2 linked regions of the Macaca mulatta genome follow. The protein of the gene in region 1 interacts with the protein of each later gene in a pairwise test. Links are inferred from orthologs where the notes say so. Each region holds a gene or a part of one and is shown on either strand. Other genes may lie near its edges.

Region 1 (4,107 bases):
CCGGGCAGCTGCATGCTCACACCGGGATGTGGAGGGTCACCCCTCTTGTTTCCCCAGAGCGGCAGACCTGGCCAGCCACTGGCCATTTGTCCTCCCAGAGCTGCGTCTGCCCCTGTGTCCTCCAGAGGTCCCCCCTTGAAATCCCTTTCCAACCACTGCACCCCCCATCTCCCACCTGTCTGTCATCCAACTGGCTGAGACGGGGACCTTCCAGAGCCCCAGTTACCACCTGGGGCCCAGCCCAACACCCCCCGGACAACTCTGAGGGTCCCACCTGCACAGAGGCCCTCCTCAGCCTCTGCCTCTGTGGCGCCCCCAAACTGGAACTGCCTCCAAATCCGCCCGTTCTCCCCACACCCACCTTCCAAGGCCTAGAGCAATGCCACCCTCCACACAGTCCCTCCGACCCCTTCTGTTGGACTCAATCAACAGTTGCCTTCTCCTGGCCACTGCCCGCAACCACGACAAGCAAAGGCTGCTTGGCCTTGGAACCCCCAGGCATGTGACGGTTCAGGACATGGTGAGCCGGGGCATCCCCTGCCCAAGGTTCTGTACTTGGGTTCCCGTCACCTGCAAGCCAGCGCCGGCGGCGCCCCTAAGCGCGCTCAGCCCACGCCGCGGTCCCTCTGGATGAGGACCGGCGCCTCTCCCCAGCTGCGCCCAGGCGCTTTCGGGGCCTCGGCGAGCTGGCGGAGGCCTCCTCCTGACCTCCCAGCAAGCCCTGCGCAGGAGAGGACGCGGCTGGCCGGCCGGAGCAGCCTCACCGAGCGGCAGCAGCGAGTGGCACAACAGCGTGGCGGCCGTGCGGCGCAAGTGGAAGGGCACGAAGGCGGCGTCCTCGCTGCCCAGCCAGCCCGACAGCAGGTTCTGCACCGTGAGCCCCGCCGCGTGGAACTCGTTAGGCGTGAACACAAAGCACACGGCGAACACCAGATAGGCGAGAGTGAAGGTCACCTCGGGGCTGTCCATCGCGCCGCCGCCGGGAAGCTGTCCGGCGAGGACCCCGCCCCCGGCGCGGGGAAGAGGCCGCAGCGCCCAGACCCCGACGTGTCGGTTGCGGCAGCCGCCACCCGGCCGCCCGCGGGGCACTCTAGGAGATGGAGTCCCGCCGCCCGGCCGCCCGCGGGGCGCTCTGGGAGATGCAGTCCCCGTGAGGGTGCGGCCTCTCTTCAGGGCCCGCCCTGGAGGCGGCACTGCACCTGGTCTCAATGCACAGCTGGGGAAACTTAGGCCTGAGCCAGCGGCTCTCAGTCCCTGGCCACGAAGCCCCGCCCAGTAGCGTCAGCTGCAGAACCCGAAATTCGTGCGGCGACGGCGAGCCGGCGGTCTCAGCTTCAGACACCCCCGGCAGGCCCTCCACTCCGGAAACGGAACCGTCGGCGCACGGGGGGGCGGGGCCGGCGAGACACAGCTTCCCATTGGACCCCCACCCTCCTACGGTCCCGCCCCCGGCCGCGTGCTGATTGGCCGCGCGAAGGCAACCGTCGGCGTTTGAAACTCGGGCGCGCCGGCGGCCATCAAGGGCTGGAAGCGCGGCAGCGGCAGCAACTAGGCTCGCCCCCGGCGCGGAGCAGACGCATATCCAGACCCCTCCTTCCTGGCGGCGGCGGCGCGGGCTCAGAGCCCGGCAACGGGCGGGCAGGCAGGTAGACGAGCGTCTACACGGCACGGGGAGGCTGGGGTCCCGGGGGCGCGAGGCCGTCCCGCCCCGCCCTCGGCCCTCGCCTTCCCGCCCTGGCCGCAGCTTTCCCCGGGAAGCGTCCCCCACGGCTTCTTCCCGGGCCGCCGGGGCCCGTCCCGCGCCCTGTCATGGGACCCGGCCCTAGACCGACCACCGGGCTGGATCCCCTGGGCGGTGGCCGGGGGCGGCTAGGGCTGGGCCGAGCCCGACGGCGGAGCGGGCGCCCTGAAGTGCTTTGTTCTCTTCGACCCTCTCCTGCCTCTCGGCCGCCCACCCTGGTTCTTTGTTGGCTCCCAGCTCGCAGACCCTCTTGTGGTTCTTTGGTCCCTTCCGGCCTCCGTCCTGGTGCCAACTCCATCTGGGCCACCTGTGGCGGACACCTGGGCCCCGACCGCTTCCCCGCACCTGCTGCGCCGCTCCATCTTCCCCCGCGCCGCATCCCACTTGTGCACCAGAGTAGCATCAAAGCACCGGCCTGGGGCCGGTCCCTTCCCTGCCCAGAGCCCCTCCCGGGGCTCCATAGTCGGTAAAGGCCCCTCCTGACCAAGGCTGGGTCTGCTGCTCTCCCGCACTCCTCCAGGCCGCCGGAAGGCTTCCTCCGAGTCACTTTCTCCCTGAGTTCCAGGCTTGCGTGTCCCCCAGTGATCCAGCTGCCCTTCCCCTGCCCTGTACCCAGTTATTCAGGCCAAAAACCTAAGCGTCGTCTGTAAGTCCCATATATGCCAGTGGCCAGGCCCGGGTCTGGTCTGGCCTCTACTCCTCGGGCTGCAGAAGCGTGTGGTTTCCCTGCTTCCCTCCTGCCCTTACTTCCCTACCCACACACAGCACCACAGTGGGCTTCTCAAGCTGCAGCACCGACCTGCCCGGGCTGCCCCTCTCTCTTCTCCAGGACCCTCCCCAACTTTGCTCTTTTTCAAATCAAAGCCTTCCCAGGTCCCCCACCACCAACAGGTGCCCGTGGGGTTCCTGCCCAGGTCGACACTCGGTTCTCTCTGGCAGCCTTTCTGCCTACGTCATTCCCTAGACTGGGAACGCTGTAGACAGAAAGGGTGGCAAGTGTGTGGGTGACTGGTGTGAGGACCTGGGCGGCCCTGGAACCTGGGACTGACTGGAGGCCCTGATATGGAAGCTCCTTGGCACCTGCTGCTCAGCTCTGGGCGTCCCTTGTTCGCCTACTGTCTCCCAGCTCCTCCTCTGGGCCTTCACCCCAGCCTGGTCTTGTCCCGCTGCCTAGCCCGGTGGGAGAAAGCAGACCAGAGCCGCTGTCCTGCTTTTCTGCCCTCTGCTGCCCGGTCCTGCCTCACGCCACACGCGGAGGCCGGTGGGGAGACCGCGGCTTCCTCTGGCTCTTCTGGGTTTCTTATAGGCCAGGGCTTTCCTGTCTCCTGACTTCTGCCTGACGTGGTAATACAACAGTAGAGATTATGCGGTCTTGGTTTTTCTTTCTCACCATCTTAGCCTGAAGGCCCTTTAGCTCTTGGTCCCAGGAGGCAGCGGTGCTGCCCATGGCTCCCGGTGCCAGGCTGGAGAGTGAGTCTCTGAAGCAGGATGGGGACTCAATCGGAGGCTTTCTCTGCCCCACTTGGCAGAGGACATGTGTGGGAGGTGTGAGCTCCAGAACAATGAGCACACCTGTGCCGGAAGGGGTCGTGCTCCCTGCGGCAGCTGTCATGTCTGTGTCTGGACAACATGGTTGTGTTGCCCTCACACTGACACAAACATGTTCTGCTTTTCCAGAATGAGTCTGCAGGTCTTAAACGACAAAAATGTCAGCAGTGAAAAAAGTACAGAAAATTGCGACTTCCTGTTTTCCTCACCAGAAGTTACCGGAAGATCGTCTGTTCTTCGTGTGTCACAGAAAGAAAATGTGCCACCCAAGAACGTGGCCAAAGCTATGAAGGTAAGTGTGACCTCTACAGTGTGTGGCTAGCCAGGTTGCCCTAGGACCTGCTTTCCTGGTGACCTCTGAGCTGCAGGACACTGCTGGTGTGGCTGTAACAGCTTGAACTAATGAATGGGTGCTCTCCTCCTCACTCCACAACAGGTGACTTTTCAGACACCTCTGCGGGATCCACAGACGCACAGGATTCTAAGTCCTAGCATGGCCAGCAAACTTGAGGCTCCTTTGGCTCAGGGTGATACCCTTGGACTGGAAAACTGTCACCCGGTGTGGACTCAGAAAGAGAAGTAAGTGTTCATGCTACTGGACATGCTGGAGCTTCACCCTCTCTGTCCGATGGCTCTTGCAGAAACGTGCTGTCCTGTTCTGTCAGGCCTTGGCTGGAATTTTTTTTTTTTTTTTTTTTTGAGATGGAGTCTTGCTCTGTTGCCCAGGCTGGAGTGCAGTGGCACTATGTCCACTTACTGTAAACTCTACCCACCCCAGGTTCATGCCATTCTCCTGCCTCAGGCTCCCCGAGTAGCTG
Region 2 (3,645 bases), on another chromosome or scaffold:
ATCTAAATGAGAGCTTTTGGTATTTTAACATTTTAAAATTTCTTTTAAATTTCTTAATTTTATGGATTGTGATTTGTAGTTTGATTTAATTCCTTATGAGCAGTTATTTTTGAAATAGTTGTGTATAAGAATCTTAGTGAGCCATTCGTCAAACATGTCCATATAGACACGACTCTTGAAATCACATTTAATTTTGAGAAATAAGTCCATAGAAATCTTTACTGTGTGAATGTTAGAATGTGGTCTTGTATATATTTCTCAGGGGAGTTGTGCTTAGAGGAAACCGATATGATAGCTCAGTGGTACTGCATTAATTTTCTCTCTCCAAAAATGTGTATATGCATTTTGTCCTTTGGGTTTTAGTGGTTTGGGTAAAATATCTTAGAATACGTTGTCTCATTAACAATTTTGATAAAGAAAATTCTCTTTCTCAGATTTGTCCAAGTCTAGTCCATTGTTTTAAAACTGCTTTTAATTTTCTAGAGTTAAGCTGAAATATGTAAAACTAAAGAATTATCTGAAGGAAATATGTGAATCTGAAAAGAAGGCTCGTACTCGAAACCAAGAATATTTAAAGCGATTTGAGCGTGTCCAAGCTCATGTTGTACACTTCACCACAAATACAGAGAAGCTTCAAAAACTGAAGGTGACTTCCTGTTTTTTACTATGTTTTATTTTATTTATTTATTTATTTATTTTTTCCAAGATGGGGCCTCAATGTGTTACCCAGGCTAGACTTGAACTCCTGGGCTTAAGCATTCCTCCTGTCTCAACCTCCTGAGTAGCTGGGATTACAGATGCACACCCCATGTAGCTGTGTACCTTCTGAGTAGCTGAAATTACAGGTGTACACCCCATGTAGCTGTGTACCTCCCGAGTAGCTGAGATTACAGATGCACACCTCATACAGCTGTGTACCTCCCGAGTAGCTGAGATTACAGGTGCACACCCCATGTAGCTGTGTACCACCCGAGTAGCTAAGATTATAGGTGCACACCCCATGTAGCTGCGTACCACTCGAGTAGCTGAGATTACAGGTGCACACCCCAGGTTTATGTTTTGTTTTTAATCTTTTTTTTGCTAAAATGAGAAATAATGAGTAGTAATTTTCAGATCAGTGGTAGTCACTAATGTTTAGTTGTTCATACTTAGGATTAAGTATCAGCTTTTTCTGTGAATTACCGTATGGCTAAATTTTATCAGAGAACTTGAAACTGCATTTTCCAAGATTCTTCTTTAGTTGAGGAATCAATGGGATATCTGTAACACAGGCAAGATCACTAGCCAGTACCTGGCACGGTGTAATGCATGGTATTTGTTGGCTGAATGACTGAATTTGAGCAGCATTGGGGTTCCCTCTAGAAACTGATTCTGTCTTGAAAGGGTTCTTTTTCTGTGATCTGGGCCCCTCTCTGGCAAACAGTGCATTGGGACAGCAGTAAAGATAGAACTGTCCCCGAGGAGTTTACCTTCATGCTCCTGGACTGTGTGACCCAGAGTAACTGCCCTTGCAGCCCTCTCTTTTTCTGGCACCTTTTTCCCCTTGAAGTGCAGGTGCTTGGCTACCTGCTGCTGCTTGGCTACCTGCTGCTCCACAAATTAGGCCAAGTGTGGAGGGCCAGGAGCTAGGCCTTTATCCTCACCATTTCCACTGGTCAGGTGTTGTCCAGTTTAACCCACCTTAACATTGATCACAGGAGGAGTTGAATTCAGTATTCTGCCTGCTAGCCTGCTACTGAGCCCCCCTACCTTTTTTTTTCTTTTGCCCTGCAGTTTTTCTTCAGCCTTTTATTATAAAATTATCAGATACACAGAAGAGTTAACATAATTATTGTGATGAACACTCATAATTCTCCATTTAGATGCAATAATTTTAAATATCTTGTTGTATTTGCTTTGTATATATTTTTTCTTTTCTCTGAGCCATTGAAAGTCTGCTGCAGGCATCATGACATTTCTTTCCTAAGCCTTTGAGCATGGATCTCCTAAATGCAGGGGCAGTCTCCTACATAATCATACCATTATCATATCTAAGAAGATTAAAAATGATTTCATAATATTTTGTTTTTTGAGACAGGGCCTCACCCTGTCATCCAGGCTGAAGTGCAGTGGCGTGATCATGGCTTATGGTAGCCTCAACCTTCTAGGCTCAAGCAAGCCTCCTTCCTCAGCCTTAAGTTGGGGCTATAGGTGTGCACTACCATGCCTGGCTAATTTTTTAGTTTTTGTAGAGATGAGGTCTATGTTGCCCAGGCTGGTCTTGAACTCGCGGTCTCAAGCAATTCTCCTGACTTGGCCTCCCAGAGTGCTGGAATTACAGGTTTGAGCCACTGCACCCAGACATAATATTATTTAATATTCAGCTCATATTTGGATTTCCCCACTTCTCCCAAAAAGTAACTTATTTTTCCAGACCAGGAGCCAACTAGGGCTCACGTATTGTTTTTTGCGTTATTGATTATTGTGCCTTTTTTGTCTCTTTTAATTGAATTTAGTCTCCTACCATTCCTCCTTTTTTTTCCCCATGTAATTGGCTGTTTTGAAAAGGCAGTTCATCTGCTTGTAGAATGATCCACATTCTGAATCTAAGGCATCATTTAACTTGCACAGCATCCCCTGTATTTCCTGTGGACTGGAAATGTGGTCTATACAAGCACTGTCCAATAGAATTTTCTGCAGTGATGGCAATGTTCTGTATATATACTGATGCTATCTAATACAGCTACTGCTCATATATGGCTATTGAGCACTTAAAATGTGGTTTGTGACACTGAAGACTGTATTTTTAATTTTGCCAATTTTAATTAATTTTAATTTAAACAGTTACAGCTGAGGTTATACTTCCAACTGCATCCCATCAGGAGGCCCATGATGTCAGGTGGCCCCTGGGTGAGGCTGACTTTGACCCATTGGTTAAGATGATGATCTCTAGTTGTCTCTATTGTAAGGTACAGTTTTTTCCCTTTGCATGTTAGTAACTAATCTGTGGAGTGATAAGTTGGCATCATGGGAATATTGTGTTCCTCAATATCCTTTTACCTAACCGTTTTAGGACCCATAGATGAGCCTTGCCTGAACCAGTTATTTCTAGTGGAGGTTTTGAAAAATGGTGATTTTCTGTTTTATTGTATCTTCTGTTAACTGGCTTTCCTCTATAACAAAGAGCGTTTTCCCTATTTTCTTTCTTTCACCCCCCCCCCTTTTTTTTTAGCCTACAACAGCACCTGGTATTCCTAGGAGTCTCCCATCCAAGTATGAAAAAGGCCCAACCCTGCTTAGCCTTCAAGATCAGATGAGAGCAAGCGTGTTCAGGGTGGTATGGCCATAGACCCCCTTTTTTTTTTAATGTTATGATGGACTTGTGAATTTCTATTTACTAGTATGTTATCAATTACAGTAATTATTCTTTTTGTCATTTTATTGTCTTATATTTGGCCAGTGGGAGTCTCTCTAGATTGGCTCCTGTGTCCTTTTGACATAACCCCCTTAATTCTGAGCCTTCTTTGATCTGGGGCATAACAAGATATTCCAGGTTCACCTCACATTTTTTCTCCCTCAGATATGGAATTAGCCTCCTATCCAAGGAGCTGTGGTTCTTTTTAATGGAGAGGGGTATTTAGAAACCAAGATATACAGTTAAATGTG

What was found. The genes of interacting proteins can lie anywhere in the genome.
Region 2: the proteins of TACC3 (region 1) and KIZ interact in binary tests that used the Homo sapiens proteins (3 or more experiments, as listed by UniProt). The two-hybrid records come from large-scale screens. The link is inferred for Macaca mulatta from reciprocal best matches to the Homo sapiens genes TACC3 and KIZ.

What each region holds. Positions count from the first base shown.
Region 1 is NC_133410.1:1,837,447-1,841,553, forward strand, and holds the start of TACC3 (transforming acidic coiled-coil-containing protein 3), read left to right. Parts: upstream 1-1,293; 5' UTR 1,294-1,646; intron 1,647-3,418; 5' UTR 3,419-3,419; coding exon 3,420-3,581; intron 3,582-3,725; coding exon 3,726-3,868; intron 3,869-4,107. Other genes in the region: TMEM129 (E3 ubiquitin-protein ligase TM129), read right to left, coding at 765-969. UniProt on the Homo sapiens protein: Plays a role in the microtubule-dependent coupling of the nucleus and the centrosome. Involved in the processes that regulate centrosome-mediated interkinetic nuclear migration (INM) of neural progenitors.
Region 2 is NC_133415.1:62,912,545-62,916,189, reverse strand, and holds part of KIZ (centrosomal protein kizuna), read left to right. Parts: intron 1-483; coding exon 484-646; intron 647-3,211; coding exon 3,212-3,316; intron 3,317-3,645. UniProt on the Homo sapiens protein: Centrosomal protein required for establishing a robust mitotic centrosome architecture that can endure the forces that converge on the centrosomes during spindle formation. Required for stabilizing the expanded pericentriolar material around the centriole.